2 linked regions of the Macaca mulatta genome follow. The protein of the gene in region 2 interacts with the protein of the main gene of each other region in a pairwise test. Links are inferred from orthologs where the notes say so. Each region holds a gene or a part of one and is shown on either strand. Other genes may lie near its edges. The genes, in order: RPA4 and RPA1.

Evidence for each region.
Region 1: the proteins of RPA1 (region 2) and RPA4 interact in binary tests that used the Homo sapiens proteins (3 or more experiments, as listed by UniProt). The link is inferred for Macaca mulatta from reciprocal best matches to the Homo sapiens genes RPA1 and RPA4.

The regions. Positions count from the first base shown.
Region 1 is NC_133426.1:103,831,138-103,846,860, reverse strand, and holds RPA4 (replication protein A 30 kDa subunit), read right to left. Parts: upstream 7,308-15,723; 5' UTR 6,383-7,307; coding exon 5,597-6,382; 3' UTR 5,272-5,596; downstream 1-5,271. Other genes in the region: DIAPH2 (protein diaphanous homolog 2), read right to left, coding at 8,950-9,089.
Region 2 is NC_133421.1:3,372,088-3,388,098, reverse strand, and holds the start of RPA1 (replication protein A 70 kDa DNA-binding subunit), read right to left. Parts: upstream 9,316-16,011; 5' UTR 9,227-9,315; coding exon 9,194-9,226; exon of another isoform or gene 9,186-9,193; intron 197-9,185; coding exon 146-196; intron 1-145. Other genes in the region: protein-lysine N-methyltransferase SMYD4, read left to right, coding at 11,179-11,220, 11,305-11,450. UniProt on the Homo sapiens protein: As part of the heterotrimeric replication protein A complex (RPA/RP-A), binds and stabilizes single-stranded DNA intermediates that form during DNA replication or upon DNA stress.

The sequences.
Region 1 (15,723 bases), on a different chromosome or scaffold from region 2:
TAAAACTGTGGTAGGGAGGAGAATTACCCACGAGAGGACAACGTCGTGGGTTCTAATGAACACCAGGTTTCAAAAACAGTTATGCAACAGAGTTTTAGGAACGCTTTCATCCGTATTTAAAGGAAATTATAAATATCTGTCTGGGGGTGGTTAAATACATTTATAAATACAAAAAAATAATGGAACATTAGGAAATCCTCTAGCCTTATAGAAGAACATACTTCTCACTCTTCAAAACAATACCTAAACACTAATCTAGTTCCAATAGCAAAGGTAAGAGGATTAAAACTAAGCAAAAGAGAATATAGAACGTAGAGGCTTAGAGTTGCAAGGCTCCAATCCCATTTACATATGAAGAAACTGAGGACCATTGACTGGACCAAGGTCACCACAGAGGAGTGATCAAGAACTAGAATGATTTATCATATTGTCACAGGATCCTGGGGTGTCACTTTGCCAACTAGAAACCTCTGCAGTCAGTGGCACCTTCTGCCTGAGTAACGTACAACATGTTCTCCCTGCTTCCATCCAGGGCTATCCTTTAAAAATGTAGGTCATCTCATGCCATTCCATTCCTCAAAGTTCTCTAACAGTGTCCCAGCTCACTCAAAGTAAAAGCTGAAGTCTTCTGAATGGTCAATTAGGCTCTACATTATCTGCTTCCAGCATGCTAGCCTCCTTGACATTCCTAGAACATGCCAAGCATGCTCCCATCTTTGGTATTTGCTGTTGCTGTTTTCTGTTTCTAACAACATTCCTCCTCCGGTGAACATAGCTCACTGCCACACTTCCTTTAGACCTCTGTGCAAATGTCATCAGAGTGAGGGAGGCTTTCACTGATCATCTAATATAAAATAGCAACATCTCTTCCTCAGTTCATATCACAACCTGACATTTGATATACACCTTTAAAAAAACTGTCTGAATTCCTGTACTAGAATGTAAGCTACATATGTATAAGCCCCATATGGACAAGGGGAATTTAGTTTTGTTATTCCTTTGTAGGATTATCCATGTGATACATAAAAACAAACCACATAAAATATTAAGTGCTATTTATTAAACTCCTCCAATTTAAGGTATTACCAAAGGAAATTAACTTTTTTTTTTTGAGACGGAGTCTTGTACTGTTGCCCAGGCTGGAGTACAGTGGCACAATCTCGGCTCACTGCCAGCTCTGCCTCTTGGGTTCATGCCATTCTCCTGCCTCAGCCTCCCGAGTAGCTGGGACTACAGGCACGAGCCACCACACCCAGTTAATTTTTTGTACTTTTAGTAGAGATGGGGTTTCACCGTGTTAGCCAGGATGGTCTCGATCTCCTGACCTCGTGATCCGCCTGCCTCAGCCTCCCAAAGTGCTGGGATTACAGGCGTGAGTCACCACGCCCGGGAGGAAATTAACTCTTAATGTTAAAAAATTGTTTTTGTAATTTATCACATGATGGCAAATTGGAATAAATATCACAGAGATAGTGTTAGAATTACTAGAAGTATGATCCACAATAGATAGGGCAAAGAAGTCCCAATTTACACACAGCTATGTGATCAGAAAAAAAAATAAGCTTCTCAATACACTGATATATATTCTTAAGATATTATATTGCAAAAACTACAAGCATAGATTTAGAGAAAATGTAGCATTTCAGATGATCTTTTAAATCAATGAAAATATAGTCCCAAATGGTATTACAGTATCATAAAAAAATCACCCAAGTTATTCAACTAAGTTCTCTACGACAGCAAAAAATAACGTTTTGTCTCTTAAGCTGATAGGTGAGTACAAAGGTGTTTTTATATTATCTTCTATACATTTGCTGAAAGTTTTCAGTTTTTTTCATTTAAATGAGACAAATTTTAAGGAAAGAAAGTCAAAATATTTAGTATGTGACGACAGTGAAAGAATACTAACAACAATGAAAGAATACTATTTTAATAGACTTTCCTTATTGTGACGCTGTACAAACTAGTTGTTAAGGGCCTAGGCTCTATAGATACAAAGCCTGGGCTTAAATCTTAACACTGACACTTGCTGGTCACGCAACTTTAATATGGAGCAAATTACTTAACCTCTCTGAGCCTAAAGTTTGCCTACAAAATAGGAACAATACTAATAATGTTATCCTGATTGTATATGTATATTTAAAGGTCTTACAACATAGTAAATGCCATATATATACATATACATATACACACACACATATATATACACACACATATATATAAAAAACACATATCACACACACATAATTTTTCATTATTTTTTAATGTATTAAAAATGCCTATACATCATCCAATAAGACATTTGGAAATGGAGTCTCAATTTCAAGAGAGAGGTCTGGCCGGGTGGGTGGCTCACACCTGTAATCCCAGCACTCTGGGAGGCCGAGGCAGGCGGATCATGAGGTCAGGAGTTTGAGACCAGCCCGGCCAATATGGCAAACCCCGCCCTACTAAAAATACAAAAATTAGCCAGGTATGGTGGCAGGCGCCTGTAGTCCCAGCTACTCTGGAGGCTGAGGCAGGAGAATCGTTTGGACCTGGGAGGCAGAGTTTGCAGTGAGCTGAGATTGTGCCATTGCACTCCAGCCTGGGCAACAAGAGCAAAACTCCATCTCAAAAAAAAAAAAAAAAAAAAAAAGAGGTCTGTGCTGAAAATGTAAATCTAGGCATCACCGGAATCATACATACACATACACACACATACACACACACACATACACACAACTCCCACTCTTAGAACAGTACTTGGGAGATAATAAATATTAAATAAATGTTAAAATGTTAACTATTACTATCTTTAATAAGCATTTCAGAAATCAATTAAATTTAAACTCATCAAAATTAAAGTTAACACTTAAATGCATATAGTAGGAACTCACTAAAGGTTTCATGAACAAATATAATTCTTGCTAGTTACCTTTTTTAAATTGCTGTTATCAAAAGTAAACAGAAATTGAAAAAATATAAGAATCTATGCTTTTCAGCCTCTACTCCAAATGTTACTAAATTTAGTAGGTAAAAGTAACAAAATGATCACTAATAATTATGACCATAGTAAGATTATTATATTGGCCTTGAAAACACTTTCAAATATATTTATTCATAGTTAATTCAGAATCAACCTCAATATAAATACATATATTTCATAAGCCTGTGAGCCATAGGAAAAAACCTCGGGTGGATTATAATCATCAATTACGTTTTTCAGGTTCCTCAGGCTTCAATGTCCCTGCCCAAAATAGTCAATAGTATGTCCCCAGGATTTGTATCTTATCCTCAAAAGGTGTGGCTAACAATCAGGGCAGGACCTTGGAGAAAGGGGATATTAGCCAAGTCATTCCCAATCTGAACAAAATTGAGAAAGTATGCATGCCAGGTGCGTGTTGAAAATGAACTTTAAAAATCTGCACCCTTTAACATGGACTAAATATGCTTGTATAAAACAATCCAGTGATTGTTTTCTGCCTAAAAATGTTTTTATTTCCACTGACATTATATCTAGACCTACTTACTATTTTTCCACTGCTATCTCTTACCTGCAGCAGAATCCACTAAAGCACATGATTCCACTCAGAAGAATAAGGGTTGGGAGTAGTAATTTTAAAAGCCTAAAACAACCCCAAGGAACACAGATAGAGGACATTGCCCCTCAGAGGATGGGGGAGAGGCTGGTCTTCTGCCTTAAATTCAGGTGTACAAATCTCAATGTATCAGTTTGCAGGGACAAAAGCAGTTTGGCCTCCTAAACAAAACAAAAAAAAAGAGTTTTTTTCCCCCTCCTTCTGGAGGCATGCTCCTAGAGTAGGAAAAAAAAGTGGCTACCCATCCACTGGCCAGCTGAGTCAGCTCAAGCAATTATGGGAGCGACCTATAATTATACTCATAAATATCAGATTTTGATGTCATGGTTTCTGAATTTGGGTAAGTGATATCACAAAAGAATACTGTATCTGCTAGACTATTTCTTTCAGTTCCACAATTCTAAGTATTATATATGCCCCTTGTTGCCTCTCCCCCAATATGATTTTCCCTAGGACAGGTAACCTTTTTCAACAAAAAGTGGTTCCGAATATTTTAGGTTTATGAAGACCAGAATTTTCACAATGTCTGATAATTTAAGTAACAGGTTTATAGTATGTTATTCATTTGTGTTTTTCAAGAGTGTCATTTATGATTACTTTCAAGGGGAAGAAAAACATGCATCACAAAGCTTAAGCAAGAATTGGTGGTAAGTTTTTCTAATGGCCACTGACAGAGGCCATTTTCTGAAAGTTTTCCTGAAAGTACGGATTACTGGCAATGCTCCATTTAAGAGTTATTTTTTTTTTCAGTTTTCATGATTCAATTAGACAAATAATGTTCTTCTCTTCTATGTGAATATATATTATATATGAATATACATATATTATATAAAATACAATACATATTCATTCAAAAGTATATATTTTTTCTTTCCTCTAATGTAAAATATTTAACACCTTGAAAGATACCATCTTTAGTGCATAGGTAAGTGAGGGCTTTCGTTAATGGTCAATTATTTAAAAGTCTCACATAATTTATATAATCTACACTAAAATGTATTGTTAGAACTAGGCTATAGCATATGTTCTTGGTATTATATATAGAAAAGAAAAAAATCTGGATAATTAAAACTATTAATCCTTAAGGATATAAAACAAAAATGCTTTTTCAAATGTACTTAGAAAAAAAATCACACAGGAAAGTTAAGATTTTATAAAACTATTTTAATAAAACATTTGAATAAATTTGTGTTAAACTCAGGAAGTTTCATATTCCCATGACTTGCTTCCCTAACCTCCTAAAAATTACCTTGTTATACATAAAACAGAGCATTTAGTAAAATAAATAATACACCAGCACATCAAACTTACAGAAACTCTGGCATCCATTTACCATGCAAGTGCAATAAATTGTAATTTCATCCAAATACCACGTCATGTATGAAATAATCATTAAACTTCACCACATTAAAAAAAAAAATTCAAAGATAACCTGGCAAAAATGATTTATTTAAACATAGTATAATCTTATTTTAAGAAAACATAAATTCATAGTAATGAGAGCAAATCACACATAAATGTTTGAACTGAGCATTAGAATTCACAAATTAATATCTTCAGCTCATTTGAATTAATGAAGTACTAAATACTATATTGAACAAGAGATAATATCATTATACGCTAAATCCAAACATGGAAAATAACTCTAACATAAAAACAAGCAAGACTTTTTGTTGTTGTTGTTGTTTGGTTTTTTTTGGGAAAAGAAGCTCCAACACAATTAAATAATACATTTCTACATTTTCTGTAGTTTTTCTTCCCCTCAAGTCATCATGTTTCCATTAGCTTGCTAGTAAATCCTACAGAGTTGTCAATTTATCCATCACCATCTCTCTCTGAGCTTCAAATATAGAAAATCTGAAGAGTTCAAAGCAGTTAGAAAAGCAGCGAGTTGACAAAGAATGCCACTTGAGATTTTTTTTTTTTTAGTCCTACTTCCTAAAAAGTCATCAGGTCAAAATTACTCTCAGATGGATGCAGGGATCTTTGGAAAAGGAAAGGATGTTTTCCCTGCCTCAATCAGCAGACTTAAAATGCTCCTGATCCACAGTGGGATAGATGTGGCCCTCGACCGTCAGATATTCAATCGCTTCCTTGATGGCCTTGAGGCTAAGGTCGCAGAGCTGAGCCTGGAGCTCATAGATGCTCTTCCCTTCCTGTTGAGGACACTCATGAATCAAACGCAGCACTTCGTCCCGGATGAAACTGCGGTGACTCTCATCGTTATCCCCAGCATCATCCACTTCCGATGGAAACACAGGCACACTTTCTACAGTGGTATCACGACGGGCTTTATCCAGCATCATGTGTGCATTGACCGTTTCCAGAATATGCACAGTGAACTCGTTCATGTCCTCTAGGACATGAATTTTCAATACCTCAAGGGTCTTTGTTCCCGTGGGACATTTGAGGATACCAAACACTTTGACATATGCTCCGACTGACAGTGGAGTCACTTGCTTGACTTTTTCTCTACCAAACCACTGTCGGGCCTCGATTGGTTTCGCAGTCATATCATCAATTTTGTAACAAATGTGATTTGAAGCCTTCTCTGCCCCTCTGATTACCCCCACGATGGAGACCTGGGAAACTATAATTCCCCTAACCTTGAACACAGTGTCAAACACAGTAGAGCTGAGAAGCTGGTTCACATTACACGGTACAACGTCCTGAATTCGGACCTTAGGTCTTTGGGTCTTAATAGCAGGAGCTGCATCTCTCTCACACAGTTGGTCACTGCCTCCACTCCCTCCATCAGCAGCAGAAATGCTGCCATAGCTCCCAAACCCACTGTTACTCATCTTCAAGACAGTTCAGGCCGAGGAGAAGGTGGGCTTTGGCTCGTCTGGGGCTCCACGGACAGCTTTGAGTTCTCCACAGAAGGCTTTGAGCTCTCCACAGAAGGCTTCAAGCTGTCTGAAAGGCTACGATTGAATGCTGGGAGCCTGAGGACGTGACAAGCTTCACGCCACCTGTGGACCAATCAGCTACCAGAATGCGTCTGCTTCCAGCCAGTCAGGGTCGGCCACCTTCTCACCTGACGGCATAATCCTTCCCTGTGTGTCAGTGGTTGCTACATTCTAAAAGCCCCACACGAGGGGAGCCCTGTTGCTTAGCTGGTCAAAGCGCCTGTCTAGTAAAAGTCCCACGTGTAATTTCAAGCAAGCCTTTCCCAACATCTCTATAAAAATGCATTTTTACTAGTCCCCCTCTTCATTTCTTAATGCTACAACTTCTACAATTACTTTTAAAAGACTCATTTATTCATTCATTCAAACAACAATGCAACAGAAATTTTAGGAGCATGAAGTGCTTGGCAAAACGGTAGAGTGCTGTACGTTATGTGCAGGGGGAAAAATGCACCACCGTGGTTACTGTTCTCAAGAATTCACGTCCCCCGTTCATTCAAACCGTTAAAACCAGGAGCATTGGGCCGGGTGCAGTGGCTCACGCCTGTAATCCCAGAACTTTGGGAGGCCGAGGCAGATGGAGTACTTGAGGTCAGGAGTTCAAGACCAGGCTGTCAACGTGGTGAAACCCCGTCTCTACTAAAAATACAAAAATTAGGCAGGCGAGGTGGTGCACACTTGTAATCTCACCTACTGGAGAAGCTGAGGCAGGAGAATCACTTGAACCCAGGAGGCAGAGGTTGCAGTGAACCGAAACAGCGCCACTGCACTCCAGCCTGGGTGACAAGAGCAAAACTCCATCTCAAAAAAAAAAAAAAAAAAACCTAGGAGTATTTTTTAAGAAATAGCAAGACAATCGTCTTTCAATGATTATCATACTCTAAGATAAGTCACATCTTAACACTGGCTTTTTAAAATTTTTTGTTGTTTTAAAATTGTAATTTTCCAGGTATTTTTTGCCAAGTGCACTATAAATGAGTAATTAATATATTTCAATTTATACATAAATCCAAACTGAATGACTGAGCTCTAAATTATTTTCAAGGCTCTGTGGAAAGGACAGAAAAGTACAAGATTTACGCCTATTACATATTAGGAAAAACATGGATAAAATCACAGTAAGTTTTTTATATACTCTTACGGAGTAAATTCTGAACTTCTAGCAGTTATACAAATAGATCCCAGATTTTTTTTTTTTTTTTTTTTTTTTTGAGACGGGGTCTGGCTCTGTCTCCCAGGTTGGAGTGCAGTGGCGGGATCTGGGCTCACTGCAACCTCCACCTCCCGGGCTCAGGTGATCCTTCCACCTCAGCCTCCTGAATACCTGGGACCACAGGCACACACCACCACATCTAGCTGACTTTTTTGTATTTTTAGTAGAGACGGGGTTTCACCATGTTGGCCAGGCTGGTCTCAAACTCCTGGACTCAAGCAATACACTTGCCTCAGCCTCCTGAAGTGCAGGGATTACAGGTGTAAGCCACCATGCCCGGCCAAGAATGTTTTGATATTTTATTGAAATTTTGTTTTTCTTTATAAAATATTTTATTTTGGGTGTTATTGATTTAAAGGCTTAATAAAGGAACCACAGTTACTGGAATCCACCATTGGCAAGTAACCTCCTAACAATCCTTTGTAGTTAGTTAATAGCTTAAATTAGTTGAGTTTTGAGGAGTTTATTAATGCTCTCATTTCTTTTACTGGTTAAAATAATTCACTTTTTGCTATCTCAAAATTACAGAAATATGTGGAGTATATCTAAAACTTATAGAAGAACATGAAGTTATATATACCTTTCAAGTTTTAAAAGAATAAAATTGACCAGGCACGGTGGCTCACGCCTGTAATCCCAGCACTTTGGGAGACCGAGGCAAGTGGATCACGAGATCAGGAGTTCGAGACCAGCCTGGCCACTATGGTGAAACCCCTTCCCTACTAAACATACAAAAATCAGCCGGGCATGGTGGTGCGCGCCTGTAGTCCCAGCTACTCAGGAGACTGAGGTAGAAGAATTGCTTGAACCTGGGAGGCGAAGGTTGCAGTGAGCCGAGATCGTGCCACTGCACTCCAGCCTGAGCGACAGAGCGAGACTCCGTCTCGCACACACACACACACACACACAAAGAAGAATAAAATCATGGAGCAAATATGCTTAATTTGCTTAATAAATAAATATATAATAATTATCTGAGCCCACAAATAGATTTCCATGTAAATGTGGACATTTAACTTCTGGCTCTATGTTAATATTTGTATTCCTAAAATTGTACATTACTGGAGATCCAACTAAATATATTTTTAAAAGTTTACAACTTCACAATCAGATGCTGCTGCTTTATTAACATCAGACTTTTAGTCAGAAAATCCTGAGGTTTAAATAACAAAACTTATTATATTCCCAAACAATTACATACACTACAAATTGTATGAATCATACCAAAATGATAATAACGACTTACCTGACTGGATTGCTGGTTAAAGAAACCCTGAGGGATTCTAGGCAATTAAGAAGTTTCTCATCTGATATACCCGATCGTAATTCATGAACATATTCTTGTGAAGACAGGGTGCATTCATGTTTGCTGTTTTTCAGCCCACCCTAAAAAATAAACAAAGATACCATTTTAGACAATGTTTTTTAAAAAATTTTTAAGTAAAATAATGCACAGAATATTTATTTTGTTATATAAAAATGTGTGCAGAGTGCTACACGCTTAAAAATTCTTGATCACAGAACTGATGTGTTAAAATTGTGTTGTATATATCTCAACATTTTCCTCGACCTCATTTAAAAAAAAAATTACAGTGCTGGTGCTCATGACCTGAATAGAATATGAACTTGAATTACACAAAGTGTCATTGACAGGGGTGCTTAAATTTACAATTCAGGCATTAGAATTAATATTAGCTAGTCCTCCTTAATCCAGAGGATAAGCATTCAAAAATCCTCTTATTAATTTTCCTAGTTAAGATATGTATATTCGATTCCACAAAATCCAGCAAATAAAATTTAATATATACCATTATACATAACCCACATCTACTGAAAGATATCAGAGTTATCAGCCTTTCTAAAAAAATAAGTGAAAACAGTTATTAAAATGTAAAACAATATAGTCTCCAATTAGCATGTTAATTAATCAAATCAGTTGAAAGCATTCACCAGTTCCCAATTATTCCTTTCTGTTACTCTCAGGTTGTAGATTAATCATAAAAAGTCATTAAATACATTTATCTGATAGTAACTGGTTTTTAAGTTAATTTTCAATATAGACGGAGTTATTTCTAGAACTCATCTCATCACTGCTCCTTAACTTCATCATCTTGCTATAACTATATAAGTAGTTCAGGGAAAAGGCTGGGAGGAAAACATTGTCAACACATTCACTATACTAATACCTCATAGTTTCACATTCTAGACCTACCTAATCATAATTGCCCCTTTCCTATACTGTAAATGTATATCCCTGAATTAAGACTCCAAGCTTGAGTTCCATTTTACAGGTTCATACAAATTACACTCAGTTTCTGCTAAACATCTAAGGATACTTACCATAAAATAACATCATTAGGATATGATATATCATCATAAGAAATATAATATTATACGGAGATTATAAGGAAAGGAATTTTTGCCTGTTGGGTAGAGGTATTATCATTAGAGGATACGACATTTAAAATAAAAAAAACAGTGTTAATAATGAGAAATGAGTTCCCTATGGTTTCACACTATTTGGGTTTTGATTGAGAATACCTCCTCAATGTAGAAAGTGTTAATCATTCTTAATTTCTGAATTTTAAAAATCCCATTAAATGCTAAATTTTTTAAGTCTGATAAAGGCTTATAACATATAGGGGAACTCTATTCCCTTAGAGCTGTGGCACTATTATCATTATTATAGCACTTAAAATATTGTGGTAGAGGTCATTATTTGTGTCTGTCTCACTTCTACATTGGGAACTCCATCTATGCCACATAACTAACACAGGTCATGAATTTAGTGAGCCTCAATAAAAGTGTGTTATTATTGAACTTCTCCATAATAACTGCAGAACAAGGAATAAAATTTCACACTTTTAGCTCCTATATTTTGTATAATGGACACTGACTTGGTATTTCTTGCTTCGTTATGAGATACAGCAGATGTTAAAAATATATTGGATGGGCCAGGGACGGTGGCTCACACCTGGAATCCCAGCACTTTGGGAGGCTGAGGCGGGTGGAACACTTGAGGTCAGGGGTTCGAAATCAGCCTGGCCAACGTGGTGAAACTCCGTCTCTATTAAAAATACAAAAATTAGCCAGGCGTGGAGGCACATGCCTGTAATCCCAGCAACTTGGGAGGCTAAGACACGAGAATAGCTTGAACCCAGGAGGCGGACGTTGCAGTGAGCTGAGACCCCGCCACAGCACTCCAGCCTGAGCCACAAAGCAAGACTCCATCTCCTCCACAAATAAAAAAGTATACTGGATGAATCATCATCACCTAAATGGCACAGTAAGTAAAACCATCACTGAGAGATCATGTCCATATTCCTGTAACTTCCTTACGCATCTATTATTCCACAAGGAATAACAGCAAGTAAATATTTAAAGCATAATTTTGCAAATTCAAAATTATAGTTTTATTTTTGCTCGGCCAACTCACTTTCTAGAGCAATACAAAGTTCATCAGTAACAAGGGATCTATTTACTACATATGCCAGTCTGAAAACTACTAGTAAAAGGAATTAAAGTTTTCAAGTCTGTAGTCACACACCACTTTCATATAATCCTCAAAGTTATTTTTAAATTAATATATAAAAAGGCACCACTAATCCTCCCCTAGGGGATTGTATATGGAATTTAACCCTGTTGAGTGACCTTTGTATTTTGCAGTTTTCTCTGCCTTGAAAACCCTTACCCCAACCTCTCTATTGCTGGCTCCCATCGTTTTAATCTCAGCCCCATAGTCTTCTCCCCACCTCACATTCTAATTATCATCGCAACACCATTTTAAATATCATTTACGATCTTACCTCTATGAAAATTTATTTTTGTAATTCAGTTGTTTACTGTCTTCCGCACTAAAACACAAGCTCTTATAAGACAGGATTCTTGCCTGCCTTGTTCACCACTGTATCCTCAGATCTTAAGACAGTGTTTAAGTAAGCACTCAATACATATTTCCTGGATGGATGGATGGATGGATGGATGGATGGATGGATGGATGGAGAATAAACAAAAGGGTGGATGAGTGATGAGTTTCAACTTGTTGAAGATTCTAAGCTTAGTTTTGCTTCAGAATATTATAGTTCTGAGACATTCAGTTATAATATATTCAAAGATGCTGAATATAGAACAGGTAAACTGAGACACTATTGCATGCTGAGGACAGCTCAGAGGTATTTCATATTGGGCATCTCATGGACACAGAACAATCTACTCAGAAAATGTTGGTTCCCTTTTTCTAATTGATTCCCTACAGGATTAGTCTAATTGGAACATATGGTCATGGCCGAGGTACTCCTTATAGACAAGTGAGCCAGCTCATCACTTTGTGGCTCACTCCCACCCAAGTCTTAGAAACAAGCTTAAATTATATAATTTAGGATCCTCTCTGGTTATAAAGAATGGAAGCAAACAATCTACTGGAGCATGACAGAGAATATACAACTTTATAGAACAGACGCCTTTTACCAAGCTTAGAAAGACTTTGAGATTTTAACATAAGTTCATATTTGAAAGTTATAAAAATATGATAGCAAGCTAAGGCTGGACTGGCCCTTAAAAATCAGTTCTTCTGATACCCTCATTACAAAAATGAGGAATCCAAGTAATTGCCTAAGTTCACATAATTATTAAGAGTATGAGACTAAAACAAATATTCTGGTCCTTGGATAGCTCCTTTCTCTACTATATACTACTTTTTCTCAATTTTGAATAAAATGTTAAAGCAACAAATATTTAATTCTGAAATCTCTATTACAGAATGTCAAGGTGTCAAAGTACCTTCAGCATAATCAATATGGTGCAAGATAATATTTTAAAAATCACCTAAAAACAAAATAGTGCAATACATTAGTTCTCATAATACTTAATAGGGCTGTAATACAAGAATGGCTTATTAACATCCTGTTCTGATACTGAACAAAGGAAACAACTAGATAATGGATGGGTAATAATGGAAATTTTAATTAGCTGCTCTGTATGAGATTAATGAAAATTACCACTGTGCCCATTTGATCTTTAAAAAATAATGCAGACAAAGTTAGCAATTAGCGTACATCATGCTATTCCAAACCTAGGTGAACAAAGAGCTTTCCTAATTTGAAGCCATTCCTTAATTTGAAAATCATTAGGATGGAGATACTAGTCAATGTGACTGTGCTTGTATTATTTTAAGACAGTAAACAAATAATCAAAAGGTAGTTTGAGTCAGTTTAATAGTCACAGATTCCCCTTGCTCTGATATGAAATGGTAAAATCAACAGCAGAGAAGCAATATTCTAAGAAAGAACACTTTTAGTTTGCAGTGGAGAGAACCACTTCTGAGTTTAGATGGACTTAGTCTGAGTATGGTCTGTCATTTTTAAATGTAAAAACAGATTTACTTACAATTTGAGAAAAGGCTTTATGGTTCTTAGCTGTAAAGGTATCTTGCTGCAGACACTAGACAGAACTATTGATTGTACACAAGTCTTTTCAGCTACAGCATGCACACAGATAGCAATTACTATCAGGGATGTCATTTTCAAATAGGATGGACAATATTTTCATGAAAACAGTAATTTTGTTAGTGTTATTGACCACGATTTATAAATCCTAATGAAGTCCATTTCTTTGGCTATTTTAATCAAATGAGTTTCTTATCTATCATTGTGTTCTCTGAAAATATAATGCTATAGATTAACATATTTGGGATTATATCTACAGAGGTTCACACTGTTGTTCTTGGAGGCTCCAACAGCTTTCAAACATAAGAAATCAAAATGCCATTTTCATCATCATCAGTTCCTTGAGTTCAAGGAGGAAAGGGAGACACAAAATACGTGCCATATCCAAGTGAATCTATTTATTTATTCTGATAGCTGTATATTTGGTGGAATAGAGAATGCTATATATTGCAGAACCTTTAGATGGCTTCTCTCCATTTTTGTAAGAAAGCCATCTCTTACTGGCAGAGTAATAGAGTTATGTAATTTATGTATCAAAAATATAAAAATATATTAAAATCAATTTATATAATAAAACTTAAAATAATTTAAAATGCAGTTTGCACTGAAAAATATTTTTTAATGGCACAAAAAAATGTAGGGTAAAAGATACTACATATTACCAATTGAAGTCTACAAGAAAAAAAACTACACAGAAAATTACTGTCATGAGATTAACTTCATATTGTGTCATTTCCCATTGCAGGAAACACTGTTTCTAACTAAGGCATTTTCAGAGGATGAAAATAATAGGCAAAATGAGAGAATATATCCCAAATTATAGGGCAGAGGTGATAAAAGCTTTTCTACAGCAATGTATAAGCATCATAATTCTTCAGATTATATGTGCCATTTTTCCCAAAAGAATTTGAATAAGTTTATTAAAATATGATCAGCTAAAATGTTTCATGAAAGAAAAGTATAAGGTTTTCTATGATGAAATCATTTATTGTTCCCTTACTGAAGCTTTTGTATATTAAATATCAATTAAGCATTTCACCCCCAAATTACAGACTCTTAGACCGTCACAGAACAAATATTTAGATCATTTTCTGAGCACTTGTATTACAGATTGTGTATCTCTGATTCAAATGGTTGGGACCAGAAGTGTTTCAGAATTCTGGTTTTCTCCAATTTTGTAATCTTTGCAAATACATAATGAGATATTTTGCAGACAGGACTCAAGTTGAAACACGATATTTATTTTTGTTGTATATGCACATTATACAAATAGCCTGAAGATAATTTCATACAATGATTTTAATAATTTTGTGTATGAAACAAAGTTTTGGCTACATTTTAGCTGCAGCTCAACACATGAGGTCGGGTGTGGAATATTCCATTTGTGGCATCATGTTGGTTCTCAAAAAGTTTTGGATTTTGGAGCATTTTGGATTTTGGATTAGAGATGCTCAGCCTGTATTAGAAATGTCAAGTACACAAACTCTAAACATAGTTTTAAATTCTGTGTCCATATTGTTACCTCTTATGTTATGAAAGACATATTTAACCAATAGAGTATAGAGGAAAATACTTCATAATAATTTCAAATAATTACTCAGTTAAATATTCAAAAAGTTTAGATTTTAACATCAAATGAAACAAAAAGGTGATATTTTAAAGTAGAATATTAATCCCAAAACACTAACCTTCGTTTCTTTTAAAACAACAGCCTCATTTGACCTAGATACTCTCAGAGATATGGACAACTGAAGGCTAAACTATCATTAACTGATTTCCTAGTGAAAGCAAACTAAAATATTTAATGATAATCAATATTAGTCAATCTGGATAATAAGCAATCAATTTGACATATTTCTTTTTCATATCAATAATGTATAGTCTATTCTATACTTAAAATCCACACATACTTCTCTTTTAAAACTAGTGTTAAGCAATTATGGTGAACAGTAGGCATACGGGTGAATAATAGCAAGTAAATCTTTAAAACCGTGAAGTGTGTCTACTAGTATTTTCTATGAGCCCCTATCATTATCCATGGTACTTGAGGCAAAACAAATACACATTAGGTTTCTCTTTTATTTGACAGAGGCCTTTGAGATATATCAGATAATCAAATGTAAAAAGATATAAAGTCAGGGGTTCTTATCCTGGGGTCTAAATTTAGGGGGTATGTGAATTTGGAAAGGAAAAAATATTTTCAGTAACCTCTTACTTAAATCTACTACTTCTTTCAACTATGAATATAGGAAACAGATTAGAGTGGTATTAGCAGCCCCTGCAACTTGGTCACCAAGTCACATATACTTTCCTGTTGTACCATACATACTACATTTGTGAAAATACCTTAACTATCATTTATGCTTATCAATTCTTCAAAATTACTTGAGTCATACAACCTGCCACTTTATCTTGTTATTTAATAAATATTGTAAAGAAGTACAATTACTGTGTCTCAATTTTTTAATCAAACTATTTTCAGATATTTGAAATATGCATGCAGTTCTAAGAAATAATGCAGAGAGATCCCTTTTCCCCAATGGTAACATCTTGGTAATCTATATTACGATATCATG
Region 2 (16,011 bases):
TCAGGGGTACAATGGAGACTGGCCTATTTTTTGTGACAAGGCGGGGAATTTCCGAAAGTGGACAAATCTGTCCGTCCTTCATCGGACGTAATTTATAATCAGCTGACTCTAATGAAGTTGACAAGGAACACACACAGGTACTTACAATGACTTGGAGGATGGGCTTTATGGATGTATCCCCCTGCTGCATGATGGCCTGAGGGAGTAAAAACAGGTTTGTGTGAGATATGCACTCAAAGCACGAAGAAAATGACATGTTTTTATAGTTCGTATTTGGAATATACAGATAAGATTGTTAAAAGAGCCCATTCAGAGCCTGTCAGCTGAAACATCTAGTTGATCACTCTGGACAAATCATAAAATGGTAAGAGGGAGATACGTGTTTTACAACAAGGAAACACAGTACATCTCTAACACCGACATCACGTATGTATTCATTATTCACAACAGCACATTCATTTCCCTCTAGTACTCGTTAACAGGGGATTAGATAAATAAATTCTATATATATTAAAGAGATAATAAGGGAACGTTAGGAACAACTTTATAAAACAACCAAGATAAAGTGGATAAACCTCTCGAAAAATACAAATTATCAAAACTGATACAAAAGAAAATCTATGTAACTCTATATCTATTAAAGAAATTGAATTTATAATTCTAAATATTCCAAAAGAGAACACTCTAGGTCCAGATGGCTTTACTGGTGAATTCTAACATTTAAGAAAAAACAAACAAACAAAAACTTGCATAAATTATTTCAGAAAATAGAAAAGAAGACTTTCTTTCCAAGTCATTTTATGATGTTACGTTTACTACGACAGGAAAAAAAAAAAAAAGACCACCCCATGCAGTGGTTCATGCCTATAATCCTAGCACTTTGGGAGGCCGAGGTGGGAGGACTGTTTTGAGCCCAAGACTTCAAGACCAGCCTAGGCAACATAGCGAGACTCTGTCTAAAAAAAAAAAAAAAAAAAAATCTTCAACAAATAGCAAATCAAATCCAGCACTATATAAAATGGGTAATATGTCATGACCAAGTGTGATTTAGTCAAGGAAGGCAAGGTTTATTCAACAACTGAAAAATCAATGTAATTTGTCACATTCACAGAAGAGAAAAATCATTATCAACTGAACAGATACAGAAAAGGCAACACTTATTCATTATAAAGTCTTAGCAAACTAGGCATAGAAGTCATGCTTAAACTGATAGCTGACATCTACAAAAAAAATCTATGGTTACCATCACACTTAACAGTAAAAGACAATCACAGGCTACTAAGATCGGGAATAAGGCAAGGATATACCTCTTAACATCTTTATTCAACGTGGTATTAGAGGTTCTAACTCATGCAATAAGGCAAGGGAAAAATGGGCATAAAGATTAAAAAGGAACCGGCCGGGTGCAGTGGCTCACGCTTGTAATCCCAGCACTTTGGGAGGCCAAGGCGGGCAGATCACTTGAGGTCAGGAGTTCGAGACCAGCCTGGCCAACATGGTGAAACCCTGATCCTTCCAAAAATTAAAAACTTAGCCGGGCGTGATAGTGCATGCCTGTAATCCCAGCTGCTGGGGAGGCTGAGACAGGAGACTCGCTTGAACCCAGGAGGCGGAGGTTGGAGGGAGCTGAGATCGCGCCACTGCACTGCAGCCTGGGCCACAGAGTGAGGCTCCCTCTCCAAATAAAAAATAAAAATATTAAAAAGGAACAAATAAAACTTCCTTTATTTGTAGACAACATGATCCTTTACACAGAAAATCCTACGGTATCTATAAAAACTAGTAAGTTGATTTAGCAAGTTTGCAGGACACAAGGTGGGTTGTGGAAAAATCATGTGTATTTCAATACACTAGCAATAAACAACTGAAGAATGAAATTTTCAAAAATGCCACTTAGACACCATAAAAAAAAATTTTTTTTTTTGAGACAGTCTCGCTGTGTCGTGCTAGAGTGCAGTGGCGCAATCTCAGCTCACGGCAACCTCTAACGCCCGGGTTCAAGCAGTTCTCCCGCTGCAGCCTCCTGAGTAGCTGGGGTTACAGGCGTGCACCACCACATTTGGCTAATTTTTGTATTTTTGTAGAGATGGGGTTTCACCATGTTGGTCAGGCTGGTCTCGAACTCCTGACCTCTGGTGATCTGCCCACCTCAGCCTCCCAAAGTGCTGGGATTACAGGTGTGAGCCACCACACCGGGTCTCAAAAGTAAATTATTTAGGGATATATTTAACAGTACATATGTAAGAACTGCACACTGAAAACTACCAACAAGGCTCATGCTTATAATCTCAGCACTTTCGGAGACGGAAGGAGGAGGATCACTTGAGCCCAGGAGTTTGAGACCAGTCTGGGCAAGATAAGGAGCCCCGTCTCTATAAAAAGTTAGCCAGGTGGGGCCGGGCGCGGTGGCTCACACTTGTAATCCCAGCACTGTGGGAGGCCAAGGCGGGCGGATCACGAGGTCAGGAGATTGAGACCATCCTGGCTAACATGGTGAAACCCTGTCTCTACTAAAAATACAAAAAACTAGCCAGGTGTGGTGGTACACGCCTATAGTACCAACTACTTAGGAGGCTGAGGCAGGAGAATCGCTTGAACCTAGGAGGCGGAGGTTGCAGTGAGCCAAGATTGCGCTATGGCACTCCAGTCTGGGTGACAGAGAATCCATCTCAAAAGAAAAATATATATATATTAGCCAGGTATGTAGTGCCTACCTGTAGTCCCAGCTACTCAGAAAGCTGAGGAACAATCAGCCCAGGAGGTCTAGGCTGTAGTGAACTGTGATTGCACCACTGCACTACAGCCTGGATGACAAAGCAAGACCATGTCTCAAAACAAACATCTGTTTTCATTTTCTTTTTCTTTTCTTATTGTACTTTGTTTCTCTATACTTCAGCGGATGCAAAGGGATCAGTACTTTGGGAGGCTGAGACAGGAGGATTGCTTGAGGTCAGGAGTTCGAGACCAGCCTGGCCAACATGGCAAAACCCCGTCTCTACAAAAAATACAAAAAGTAGCTGGGTGTGGTGGCACACGCCTGCAGTCAAGGTGAGATGGCACCACTGTACTCTAGCCTGAATGACAGAGTAAAGCCCTGTCTCAAAAAAAAAAAAAAAAAAAAAAAAAACAATTAGCTGGGCGTAGTGGTCCCAGCTACTTGGAGGGTGAGGTGGGAGGATCACTTGAGCCAGGGAGATAAAGCTGCAGTAAACTATGATCATGTATGTCACCGCACTCCAGCCTGGGTGACTGAGTGAGATCCTGCCTCAAAAAATAAAAATAAAAATAAAAATAAGAAATGAAGCTGGAGGCCAGGCACGGTGGCTCAGGCCTATACTCCCAGCATTTTCGGAGGCCGAGGCAGGCGGATCACATGAGGTTGGGAGTTCGAGACTAGCCTGGCCAGCATAGTGAAACCCCATCTCTACTAAAAATACCAAAATTAGCTGGGTGTGGTGGCGGGGGCCTGTAATCCCAGCTATTCAGGAGGCTGAGGTAGGAGAACTGCTTGAACCCGAGAGGTAGAGGTTGCAGTGAGCACTGCACCACTGCAGCCTGGGTGACAGAGTGGGACTCCGCCTCAAAAAAAAAGAAAGAAATGAAGCTGCAGAATTTACAATGCCAAATTTCAAGATTTACTATAAATCTGCAATTTTTATGACAATGTGGTATTGACGTAAGCACCAACATAGAAATCAATTGCAGAACAGACATTCCAGAGATAGAGATATACACATATACAGTCCATTGATTTTATCTAAAGTGACTAAGTCACTCAATGTAACAGGATAGTCTTTTCAATAAACAGGGCTGGAACAACTGAATATCTATATTAAAAAAAAGATCTATATATCATAGATAAAATAGTAAACTTGAAATGCATCATGGACCACAAGGCAAGGCTAAAACTATAAAACTTCTGGAAGAAAACACAGTATAAAAGATTTGTGACCTTGGGTGGGGTAGTCAAAGATTTCTTTTTTTTATTTTTTTGAGACTGAGTTTCACTCTTGTTGCCCAGGCTGAAGTGCAATGGCGCGATCCTGGCTCACCGCAACCTCCGCCTCCTGGGTTCAAGCCATTCTCCTGACTCAGCCTCCCGAGTAGCTGGGATTACAGGCACCTATCACCACGCCCTGCTAATTTTGTATTTTTAGTAGAGACAAGATTTCTCCATGTTGGCCAGGCTGGTCTCGAACTCGCGACCTCAGGTGATCCGCCCGCCATGGCCTCTCAAAGTGCTGGGATTACAGGCATGAGCCACTGCGCCCAGCCTAGCAAAGATTTCTTAGGACACACAAATACAAGACTGCAAAAAACAAAACAAAAACAGACAAAAAACCCACAACCTGATAACCTGGACTTCACCAAAATTTAAAAATGCACTTCAAAAAAAGAAAATTTCAAAAAAGAAAGAGCAAGTCACAGATTGGGAGAAAATATATGTAATATTTATATTTAACAAAAGACCCATCAAGAATAAAGAATTCTTACAACTCTTTAATAAGCACAAAACCCAATTTTTAGGTGAACAAAAGACGTGAACAGACATTTCTTTTGTGAAGATATACAAATGGCCAGTAAGCCCATGAAAAGATGCTCATTAGTCACCAGAGAAATACAAATTAAAACCACAGTGAGATACCTTTATACTTTCACTAGACTACTCAAGATCAAAGACTGACGACTGGCAAGGACATGGAGCAACTAGAATTCTCATAATCACACTGGAAAAGTTTGGCAATTTCTTTTAAACATTCAGTTACCTATGACCCAGCAATGATGCACCTAGATATTTATCCCAGAGAAATGAAAACATATTTCCACAAAAAGATTTGTACTTAAATGGTCATAGCATCTTCATTTAAGTCAAAAGATGAAAATAACCCAAACGTGCAATAATAAACAAATTTTGTTATAGTCACACAATGGAATACTACTGAGCAATACAAAAGTGCAAATTACTGAATTAACATGGATAAAGCTCAAAAACCATTTTGGTCCAGAGTGGTGGCTTATGCCTGTAATCCCAACACTTCGGGAGGCCAAGGTGGGAGGATCACTTGAGCCCAGGAGTTCAAGATCATCCTGGACAACACATCAAGACTCCATCTCTACAAAAAATATTTTTAGGCCGGGTGTGGCGGCTCACGTCTGTAATCCCAGCACTTTGGGAGGCCGAGGTGGGTGGATCACGAGATCAAAAGATTGAGACCATCCTGACCAGTATGGTGAAACCCCGTCTCTACTAAAAATACAAAAATTCATCAGGCATAGCTACTTGGGAGGCTGAGGCAGGGGAATCGCTTGAACCCAAGAGGCAGAGGTTGCAGTGAGCTGAGGTCACGCCACTGCACTCCAGACTGGCAACAGAGCAAGACTGTGTCTCAAAAAAAAAAAAAAAAAAAAAATTTTTTTTTTTTTTAATTAGCCAAGAGCGGTGGCATGCATCTGTAGTCCCAGCTACTCAGGAGGCTGAGGTGCGAGGATCTCTTAAGTTCAGGAGGTCAAGGCTGGAGTGAGTCATGACTGTGTCACTGTACTCCAGCCTGGGTGACAGAGACCCTACCTCTGGAAAAAAAACAAAAAAATTGCTGAAAGAAGCCAGACACAAAAAGGTAGATATTATTTGATTCCATTTATATGAAGTCTTAGGAAAGTCAAAACTGACCTACAGAGAGAAACCAGAACACTGACTGCCTCGGGTGAGGACGGAGGTGAGGAAGGAGTGGGAGGTGGGGTGCACTGATGGGATTATTCTGTATCTCCACTGGGGCAATGCAGCTACAGCGGTGCGTACATTTGTCAAAGTTCATCAAGCTGTACACTTACAATAGGTGCGATTTGGCTGGGCGTGGTGGCTCATGCCTGTAAATCCCAGCACTTCAGGAGGCCAAGGCGGGCAGATCATGTGAGGTCAGAAGGTTGAGACCAGCCTGGCCAACATGGCAAAACCCTGTCTCTACTAAAAGTACAAAAATTAGCCGGGTGAGGTGGCGTGCACCTGTAACCCCAGCTATTAAGGAGGCTGAGGCATGAGAATTGCTTGAACCTGGGAGGCAGAGGTTGCAGTGAGCTGACAGTGCACCACTACACTCCAGCCTGGGCAACAGGAGACTCTGCTTAAAAAAAAAAAAAGGTACAATTTACTATATGTAAGTGAAATGTCAATGACAGTGATTTTTCTAAAAAGCAGTTATTTCTGTGGAATAGAAGTGGACAAGGTAGGGCAGAAGGTCAGTAATTACATTAAACACCTCTTTCTTTCTTCTTTATAAATGAAATAGAGACAGGATCTTGCTATGCTGCCCAGCCTGGTATCAAACTCCTTCTTGGCCTCAAGGGATCCTCCTGCCTTAGCCTCCCCAAGTGACATTAACACATGTGAGCCACCATGCCCGGCCATAAACACTTTTCTGTTCCGTTTGATTTTAAAACCACACGCGTATATGAGAGGAATTGAAAAAGTACATGAAAAATGTGCATTATGAAAAAACTATCCATGCATTTCAAAAATATTTTGCACTGAAATAAACTCATACTAACTTGTTATAACGTGTCTGAACAAGATCTAGTGTGAGGCACTAAGAAGGATTAGACATCAATTTGAAAAGAGTCCCATGGGAGCAACACGAATTCTGCTAAAATGGAAGCAACAATGAACACCAAATTCAAGGTGAAGCTTGGGTGGAAGAAGGGTGAAATCACCAATGCTTTATGAAAGAAAAGTATATGGGGACAATGCTCCCAAGAAACCAGCTGTTTACAAATGGATAACTCGTTTTAAGGGACAAGGCCAGGCACAGTGGCTCATGCCTATAATCCCAAAGACTTGGGAGGCAAGGCAGGAGAACTGTTTGGAGGCCAAGAGTTCGAGACTAGCTTAGGCAAGATGGTGAAACCCCATCTCTACACAAAATTAAAAAAAAAAAAATTAGCTGGGCACGGTGGCATGCACCTGTAGTCCCAGCTACTCGAGAGGTTGGGGTGGGAGGATCACTTGAGCCCAGGAGTTAGAGGTTGCAGTGAGCTATGATCGTACCACTACACTCTAGCCTGAGAGACAAAAAACGAGACTGTCATTTAAAAAAAAAAGACTACGGCCCGGTGCAATGGCTCAAGTCTGTAATCCCAGGACTTGGGGAGGCCGAGGTGGGCAGATCACTTGAAGACAGGAGTTCAAGACCAGCCTGACCAATATGACAAAACCTCGTCTCTACTAAAAATACAAAAATTAGCTGGGCGTGGTGGCACACGTCTGTAATTGGGAGGCTGAGGCAAAAGAATCGCTAGAACCCGGGAGGTGGAGGTTGCCACGAGCCGAGATCGCGCCTCTGCACTCTAGCCTGGGCAACAGAGTGAGATCCTGTCTAAAAAAAAAAAAAAAAAGAAAAGCCCTAGTAAGTATACAAAGCGACAAAATGTAATACTCAAGGGCACATATGTTCGGCCAGGCGAGGTGGCTCATGCCTGTAATCCCAGCACTTTGGGAGGCCGAGGCAGGAGGATCATGAGGTCAGGAGATCGAGACCATCCTGGCTAACACGGTGAAACTCCATCTCTACTAAAAATACAAAAAATTAGCTGGGCATGGTGGCGGGCGCCTGTAGTCCCAGCTACTTGGGAGGCTGAGGCAGGAGAATGGCGTGAACCCGGGAGGTGGAGCTTGCAGTGAGCCGAGATCCTGCCATTGCACTCCAGCCTGGGCGCCTGGGCGACAGTGCGAGACTCCGTCTCAAAAAAAAAATGTTCAAATGCCCCATGGAAGAAGGGAGGAGTATGAAAAATACCAGAAATCTAAATGTAAAAAAAAATGTGGGGGTGACTGGAGAGTAGGCTGAGAGTATGCTGTGGATGGGAATGGTGGCAGGAACGTATGCTGAGTGGAAGTGAACAGCCCAGGCAAAAAAAAAAAAAAAAAAGATGGTGCCAGTATGGATGGAAAGAAGCCGGTGGGCTTGGTAGATCTACGCGGAGGTACAATACACTTCGCTTGGTGAGGAACTGGACGCCCAGGTGATGGACAATGTAGGAGGAATGATTTCTCAATCTCTGGTTAGCACTGAATTGAACAGATAATGGTACCATTCGTGGAGATAGGGATCAAGAGGCCCAGACTTAGAAAGATAACGAATTTGCTTTGGGATATGTATATTGAACTTAAAAGCCTCTGAAGCATGGAATAAGCAGATAGATTATAGAAGTTTGTCTTTTAGAGTAAAGGTGGCTCAGTACAAAGAAATTTGTCACGCCTGTAATCCCAGCATTTTGGGAGGCCGAGGCGGGCGACACAATGGAGGTCTGGAGTTCGAGATCAGCCCGGCCAACATGATGAAACCCTGTCTCTAATAAAAACACAAAAAAGTAGCCAAGTGTGGTGGCGCACACATGTAGTCCCAGCTACTCGGGAGACTGAGGCAGGAGAATCGCTTGAACCCGGGAGACGGAGGTTGCAGTGAGCCGAGATCGCGCCACTGCACTCCAGCCTGGGCGACACAGTGTGACACTCACACAGTGAGTGTCGCCCAGGCTGGAAGAAAAAAAAAAAAAAGAAATTGCCTTTGGGAGTCAAGAGGGCCTAGAGGGAGCCTTGAGTCAACAAAAATTTACAAAGAGGGGCCTGCAAATAAGACGGGGATAGACCCGCCAAGCTGAGCCACTAAAACCCAAGGAAGAGGGCGTGAGCAGAAGAAGCAGGGCTCAAAAGCAAACGCTGCTGAGAACTCAGGTAAGCTGAAAACGGAAAAGGGCTGGATTTAGCAACTTGGAGGACACTGGTCCCTTGAGCCAGGGTTTTCTACAGCGATCAAGGGGATGCCTGGAGTGGGTTAAAGAGTTGATGAGAGGCGAAGAAAGGAAGTGGCTGAAACCAGACAAGAAGTTTGGCTGCGGGGCAGGAAAGGAGAAGAAACAGAAAGTGGCCGCAGGTGAAAGATCCAGAAAAAGGCAAGCGTTTATTTACTTTGTTCTTAAGTAGGAAAAACGTGAGCGTGTTTCAAAGACGATCAGAAGAATGCTTTGAGGAGGGGGTGATGACACTACACGGGGGCTCGGCGAGTCCCCACCGCCCCCCGCCTTCTCCTCCCCTCGCGTTCATCCCCCGTCGCCCCGGGCTCCCCTCCCCCTCTCCACTCCGCGAGGCTCGGGGCCGCAGCCACCCGCACCGCCGGCCCGGCCCCCGGCACCTCCTCACCGCAATGGCCCCCTCGCTCAGTTGGCCGACCATGGCTCCGCCGCCCCGACTCCCGCGCGGACCCCGCGACAGCTGGAGCTTCCCCACCGGGGTCCCGCGCGCTGCGCAGTTATTGGCCCGAGGAGTTGCGTGCGCCGCTCCCGCCCCCGACGTGCGCGCGGCCCAGGGGCGGGCCCGGGCGCTGCGCAGCCGCCACATTGGCCGAGGCGCGGCGCACGTGACTTGCTCGCGGGCCCAAAGGAGGCCTGGCGCGGAACACGGGGCGCGGGGCGGGGCGCCGAGGGGCGCGCCAGGAGCTGCGCGGGCGCGGGGAGGGAGTCCGCGGCCCAGTTCCGGGCGCCTGTGAGCGGGCTCACGAGGCTTTCTCGCCTCGGTTTCTGGCCAGTGCACGGGTTGGTAGCCCAGAGGAGGTTAAAGCTGTTCCCTGAGACCTCAGCTGCTAAATGGAGTCGCAGCAGTGACCCGGTTCCTCCAGCAACGCGGGGCTGACTTCTCGACCGGGGCCAAACCCTGAGCTTGGCACCGTTGAGGGGGGGGTCTCCGAAGGGGAATCAGACCTGGTCCCTGTCCGTGGAGAAGAGGACAGTGTGTGGGGGCACTTTATGCCGTGAGTAGCCCCAGCGCCAGGTAGACGTGGTACAGGCCCCAAGAGTGTTGGAAATCAGGGAAGCCTTCCCAGAGGACGTGCCGTTTGAACCGAGTCGAAGAACGAACCTGTGGGAATTTTCCAGGTGGACTCCATAAGCCAGGGTAGGATTGGTCCGGAAAGCACGAATAGCCTCTGCCAAAACCTTGGAGAGATGAAATAGCCTGGCAAGCCGGGGATCGCAATGAGTAGTTCAGTATGCAAGGCTGCAGAGGAACAAGTGAGACCTGAGAATTAGAAAGTCAGCCAAGGGTCAAGTAAGGACGGTTTTGTCCTGGGCTTCCTGATATGCTTGGAGTAGCGTTGATGAATTTAAGGCAGAGCACTGACTTCTGTCTCAGTGTTGGAGGCTGGATTGAAAGTTGGGGGGGGTGCCAATGGCATGGACACTAATTATGACACTCTAGGAAGAATGCCAGACGAGATGGTGAGGACTTAAACCGAAGGAATGACCTGGGGGTTGAAAGAGAACGCTGAACTATATGAGAGAGAGAAATACCTGTTAATTGAATAGTTGCTGGGGTGGGTGAGAAAGAAAAATCTGGGGAAGTGTCTCAGGTTTCAGACTTGAGAAACTAGGGGGATCAGGCCGGGCGCGGTGGCTCACACTTGTAATCCCAGCGCTTTGGGAGACCCAGGCTGGAGGATCACCTGAGGTCAGGAGTTCGAGACCAGCCTGGTCAACATGGTGAAACCCCATCTCTACTAAAACTACAAGAATTAGCCAAGAGTAGTGGCGCACTCCGTAATCCCAGCTACTCCGAGGCTGAGGCAGGAGAATTGTTTGAACCTGGGAGGCAGAGGGTGCAGTGAGCCGAGATCGTGCCACAGCGCTCCAGCCTGGGGGACAGAGCAAGACTGTCTCACGCACAAAAAAAAACACTAAGAGGACACGGATGATAGCTATCTAGTCTGCTTCCTCTTTGTATAACCATCACCTGCATGGTGCCTGTCACAAAGTAGTCTTTCAGTAAATATTTCTGAATGGAAGGATGTTGAGTGAATTGCTGTGAGAGAATATAGATCTTTCCTTAGCATGTAAACTAGAGGAAAAGACCACAAGAATTGATTTTATTGCTTTAGGCTTCCTTGAATGAAATCTTGATTTTCCTTTTTTTTTTTTGACACAGAGTCTCCCTCTGTTGCCTAGGTTGGAGTGCAATGGTGTGATCTCAGCTCACTGCAACCTTGGCCTCCCCAGTCAAGTGATTCTCTTGCTTCAGCCTCCAGAGTAGCTGAGACTACAGGCGTGCGCCACCACACCCGGCTAATTTTTTTGTATTTTTGGTAGAGACGGGGTTCACTGTGTTAGCCAGGATGGTCTCGATCTCCTGACCTCATGATCCACCCACCTCGGCCTCCCAAAGTACTGGGATTACAGGTGTGAGCCACTGCACGGGGCCAAACTCTTGATTTTCTAAAATCGTGCGTTTGTGAGATTCCTATTTTCTTCCTCATTGTATAGATGGAAAGCAGCATGGGTCTGCCTGCGGATGAGTGGAAATCATACCTGCTTCAAAAGTGGGCTTCACTCCCGAAGTCCATTCAGCTCACCATTTCTACAGCAGAGACCTTGAGCGATATCTTTCTTCATTCCTCTTCACTTCTTCAGTAAGTACATGGAAGCGTTAACGAGGCAATTGTGACCTGAAAAACGTTCTGTTTTGTCATTTGCTCTGAAGTAATCTCTGTCTCTCTCTCTTTCTTAAATAGAGATGGAGTCTTGTTATGTTGCCCGGGCTGGTCTCAAATTTCTGGGCTCAAGCAATCTGGCCTCCCACGGTGCTGGGAGTACAGGTGTGAGCCATCATGCCTGGCCCAGTAATATCTCTTTTTTTTTTTTTTTAATTTTTTATTATACTTTAACTTCTAGGGTACATGTGCACAATGTGCAGGTTTGTTACGTATGTATACGTGTGCCATGTTGGTGTGCTGCACCCATTAACTCATCATTTACATTAGGTGTGTCTCCTAATGCCAACCCTCCTCCCCCCCCCCCCCGCCCCGTAATATCTGTTTTTGATGGAAAATGCCTGAAGTGCTTTTCGTGGTTCCTTTCTATCCCAGCATGTCCTGTGAACTAATTCACTTCTGTCATCCCGCAGGATTAGCCAGATCTTTCCTCAGGAAAGCTCTCACTGAGCCTCAGCTGGGCCATCTTTACTCTGTACATTTACAACGCTGTGTGATTTTCCTTTATATATGTGTGTGCTCTTTTGACTAATGCCTGCATTTGCCACTAGATTGTGAACTTCATGAGGGAAGGGACCATGTTTGTATTTGTTTGTGTTTCTTTTTTTTTTTTTTCGAGACAGGGTCTCGCTCTATCGCCCAGGCTAGAGTGCAGTGGCGCAATCTCAGCTCACTGCCTCTGCCTCCCAGGTTCAAGCGATTCTCCTGTCTCAGCTTCCCGAGTATTTGGGATTACAGACGCACACTACCACGCCTGGCTAATTTTTTTTTTTTTTTTTTTTTTTTGAGACAGGGTCTCACTCTGTCACCCAGGCTGGAGTGCAGTGACACGATCTCAGCTCACTGCAACCTCCGCCTCCTGGGTTCAAGCGATTCTCATGCCTCAGCGTCCCAAATAGCTGGGACTACAGGCATATGCCACCACATCCGGCTAATATTTTTGTATTTTCAGTAGAGATGGGGTTTCACCATGTTGGCCAGGCTGGTCTTGAACTCCTGCCCTCAAATGATCCGCCCATCTCAGCCTCCCAAAGTGCTGGGATTACAGGCATGAGCCACTGTGCCCGGCCTGTTTGTCTTTCTATAGACAAAAATAGTGCAGTGTCAAAAAACAATTGCTCAGTAAACATTAATTGAATGATAGTTTGGTAAAGTACATAAAGTTCTTAGTTTAGTGACTGGCTCTTATTAGTGCTTAATATGTCATATAAACCAGAACCTTATATATTTGCAGATCCACAAACACACACCTTTAAAGTTCAAGGTTGACATCTTTGTGCCAGGAACTGGCACAGTGCCTGGCACTTAGTAGGTGCTCAGATATTAATTGAATGAAATAATGAGTTCAGTTTTGAGCCTTGCCAGTTCAGATACTTGGTACAATTAGGGTTATACTTCTTTTGTTATTCTTCTTTTCTTTTTTTTTTTTAGACAGAGTTTTGCTCTTGTTGCCCAGGCTGGAGTACAGTGGGGCAATCTTGGCTCACTGCAACATCCGCCTCCCAAGTTCAAGCAATTCTGCCTTAGCCTCCCGAGTAGCTGGGATTGCAGGCTCATGCCACCACACCCGGCTAATTTTGTATTTTTAATAGAGATAGGGTTTCGCCATGTTGGGTAGGCTGGCCTCCAACTCCTGGCCTCAGAGGATCCGCCCGCCTTGGCCTCCAAAAGTGCTGGGATTGCAGGCATGAGCCAGCACACCCGGCCCCCCAGTACATTTTTATTTCTAGCCTCTTTGTGTCCCTTGCCCATTTTCTAGTGGGTTGTCTTTCTTTCTCTTGTTCATTTGTAGGAGATCTTCATAAATCTAGCTGTGTAATTCTTTGCTATGTAAGTTATTATTTGCTATATAAATTATTCCCAATCTGTTTATCTTTTTTACCTTATTTACAATGTAAATTTTGTACATTTACATTCTATATAAATTGTGTATATAGGTTTTAAATTTTTAAATTTTATTTAAATTTTTTTAGAGACAAAGTCTCAGTATGTTGTTCAGGCGGACCTCAAGCTCCTGGGCTCAAGCGATCCTCCTGCCTTGCTTGGGATGGTGGAGTAAACCATCCTAAGCAAGACATAACCCAGAAGCTATAAAAGAAGATGAAGTTGGGTGTGGTGGCTCATGCCTGGAAACCTAGCACTTTGGGGGTCAGAGGTGGGAGGACTGCTTGAGCCCAGGAGCCTGGGCAACATAGTGAAAAATTAGCCAAGCATGGTGGCATATGCCTGTCATCCCAGCTACTCAGGAGGCTGAGGTGGGAGGATCACTTGAACCTGGGAGGTCAAGGCTGCAGTGAGCCATGATCGTGCCACCGCACTCCAGCCTGGGTGACAGAGCAAGGCTATTTCTCAAAAAAAAAAAAAAAAAGGAAAATGACAGATAAGGCTTTATAAAAATCAAGCCAGACATGGTGACATATGCCTGTAATTCCAACTACTTGGGAGTTTATAAAAATATTCTTTGTTGGCCGGGCATAGTGGCTCACGCCTGTAATCCCAGCACTTTGGGAGACTGAGGCAGGTGGATCACAAGGTCAGGAGATCGAGACCATCCTGGCTAACACAGTGAAACCCCGTCTCTACTAAAAATACAAAACAGTCGGGCATGGTGGCGGGCACCTGTAGTCCCAGCTTCTCGGGAGGCTGAGGCGGGAGAATGGTGTGAACCCGGGAGGCGGAGCTTGCAGTGAGCAGAGATCACGCCACTGCACTCCAGCCTGGGCGACAGAGTGAGACTCTGTCTCAAAAAAGAAAAGAAAGGAAAATAGTGCCACTGCACTCCAGCCTGGGTGACAGAGCGAGACTCCGTCTCAAAAAAAAATAATAATAATATCTTGGGTATTTTGTGTGCATTTCCCCCATGTGAACTTTAGAATTGGCTTATTAAGTTCCTTTTTTTTTTTTGAGATGGAGTCTGTCGCCCAGGCTGGAGTGGCGCGATCTCAGCTCACTGCAAGCTCTGCCTCCTGGGTTCACGCCTCAGCCTCTCGAGTAGCTGGGACTACAGGCACCTGCCACCATGCCTGGCTAATTTTTTATATTTTTAGTAGAGACGGGATTTCACCATGTTAGCCAGGATGGGATTACAGGCGTGAGCCACCGCACCCAGCCAACTTCTCAAATTCTATAAAAAATGTTGTGGGTTTTTGATTGAGAATGTGTTGGATTTATAGATTCATTTAAGGAAACCTGACATCTTGACAATATCAAATTTCCTAATCCAAGGGTATGTCTTCCCATTTATTTAAGGCTTCTTTTACATCGTTAAGTAAAGTTTTATAGTTTTCTTTATATAGGTCTTACACATTTCTTGTTCAACTTATTCTCGTTGTAAGGTTTTTGTTGTTATTGTGAATGAGCCTTTTCCCCCCAATTACATTTTCTAATTGGTGATTGGTGGTGTAAATAAAAAATAAAAGTCATCCGATTTAAAATCATTTGGCTGGGTGCGGTGGCTCACACCTGTAATCCCAGCACGTTGGGAGCCCAAGGCAGGCGGATCACCTGAGGTCAGGAGTTCAAGACCAGCCTGGGCAACGTGGTGAACTCCTGTCTCTACTAAAAATACAAAAAATTAGCTGGGCATGGTGGCGGGCGCCTGTAATCCCAGCTGATACCATGGTGGGTTATGGTAGCCTCAGAATGAATTTGGAGAGCTTCCTGCCTTTTTCTATGCTCTGAAATCGTTTATATAATGTAGGAATTATGTGGTTCTTAAAGGCTAGTAGAAAAATCCTGTAAAACTATGTAGACTGGATGCCTTAGTGAAAATATTTTCCTTCCTTAGTTTAATTTTTTATCAGAATAATATGTGTACATACTTTAAGAAATCAAATAGGCTGGGCGCGGTGGCTCACACCTGTAATCCCAGCACTTTGGGAGTCCGAGGTGGGCGGATCACGCCTACCATGCCCATGTCAGGAGATTGAGACCATCCTGGCTAACACGGTGAAACCCTGTCTCTACTAAAAATACAAAACATTAGCCAGGTGTGGTGGCGGGTGCCTGTAGTCCCAGCTACCCAGGAGGCTGAGGCAGGAGAATGGCGTGAACCCGGGAGGCGGAACTTGCAGTGAGCCGAGATCGCGCCACTGCACTCCAGCCTGGGAGATAGAGCAAGACTCCATCTCAAAAAAAAGAAAAGAAATCAAATAGTGCTTCAAAATTTATGAGGAAAAACAGCAACTCCCTGTCCACTCTTCCCCATTCCTGATTTTTATTCCCCAGAGACAGCTACTTTAAATTATTTTAACTGTTTCTTCTGGCATTTAAATTTTTCATTTATTTATTTATTTGTTTGTTTGTTTGTTTATTTTGAGTCAAAGTCTCACTCTGTCACCCAGGCTGGAGTGCAGTGGCGCGATCTCAGTTCACTGCAACATCCGCCTCCCAGGTTCAAGTGATTCTCTTGCCTCAGCCTTCCGAGTAGCTGGGATTATAGGCACACATCACCACGCCCAGCTAATTTTTGTATTTTTAG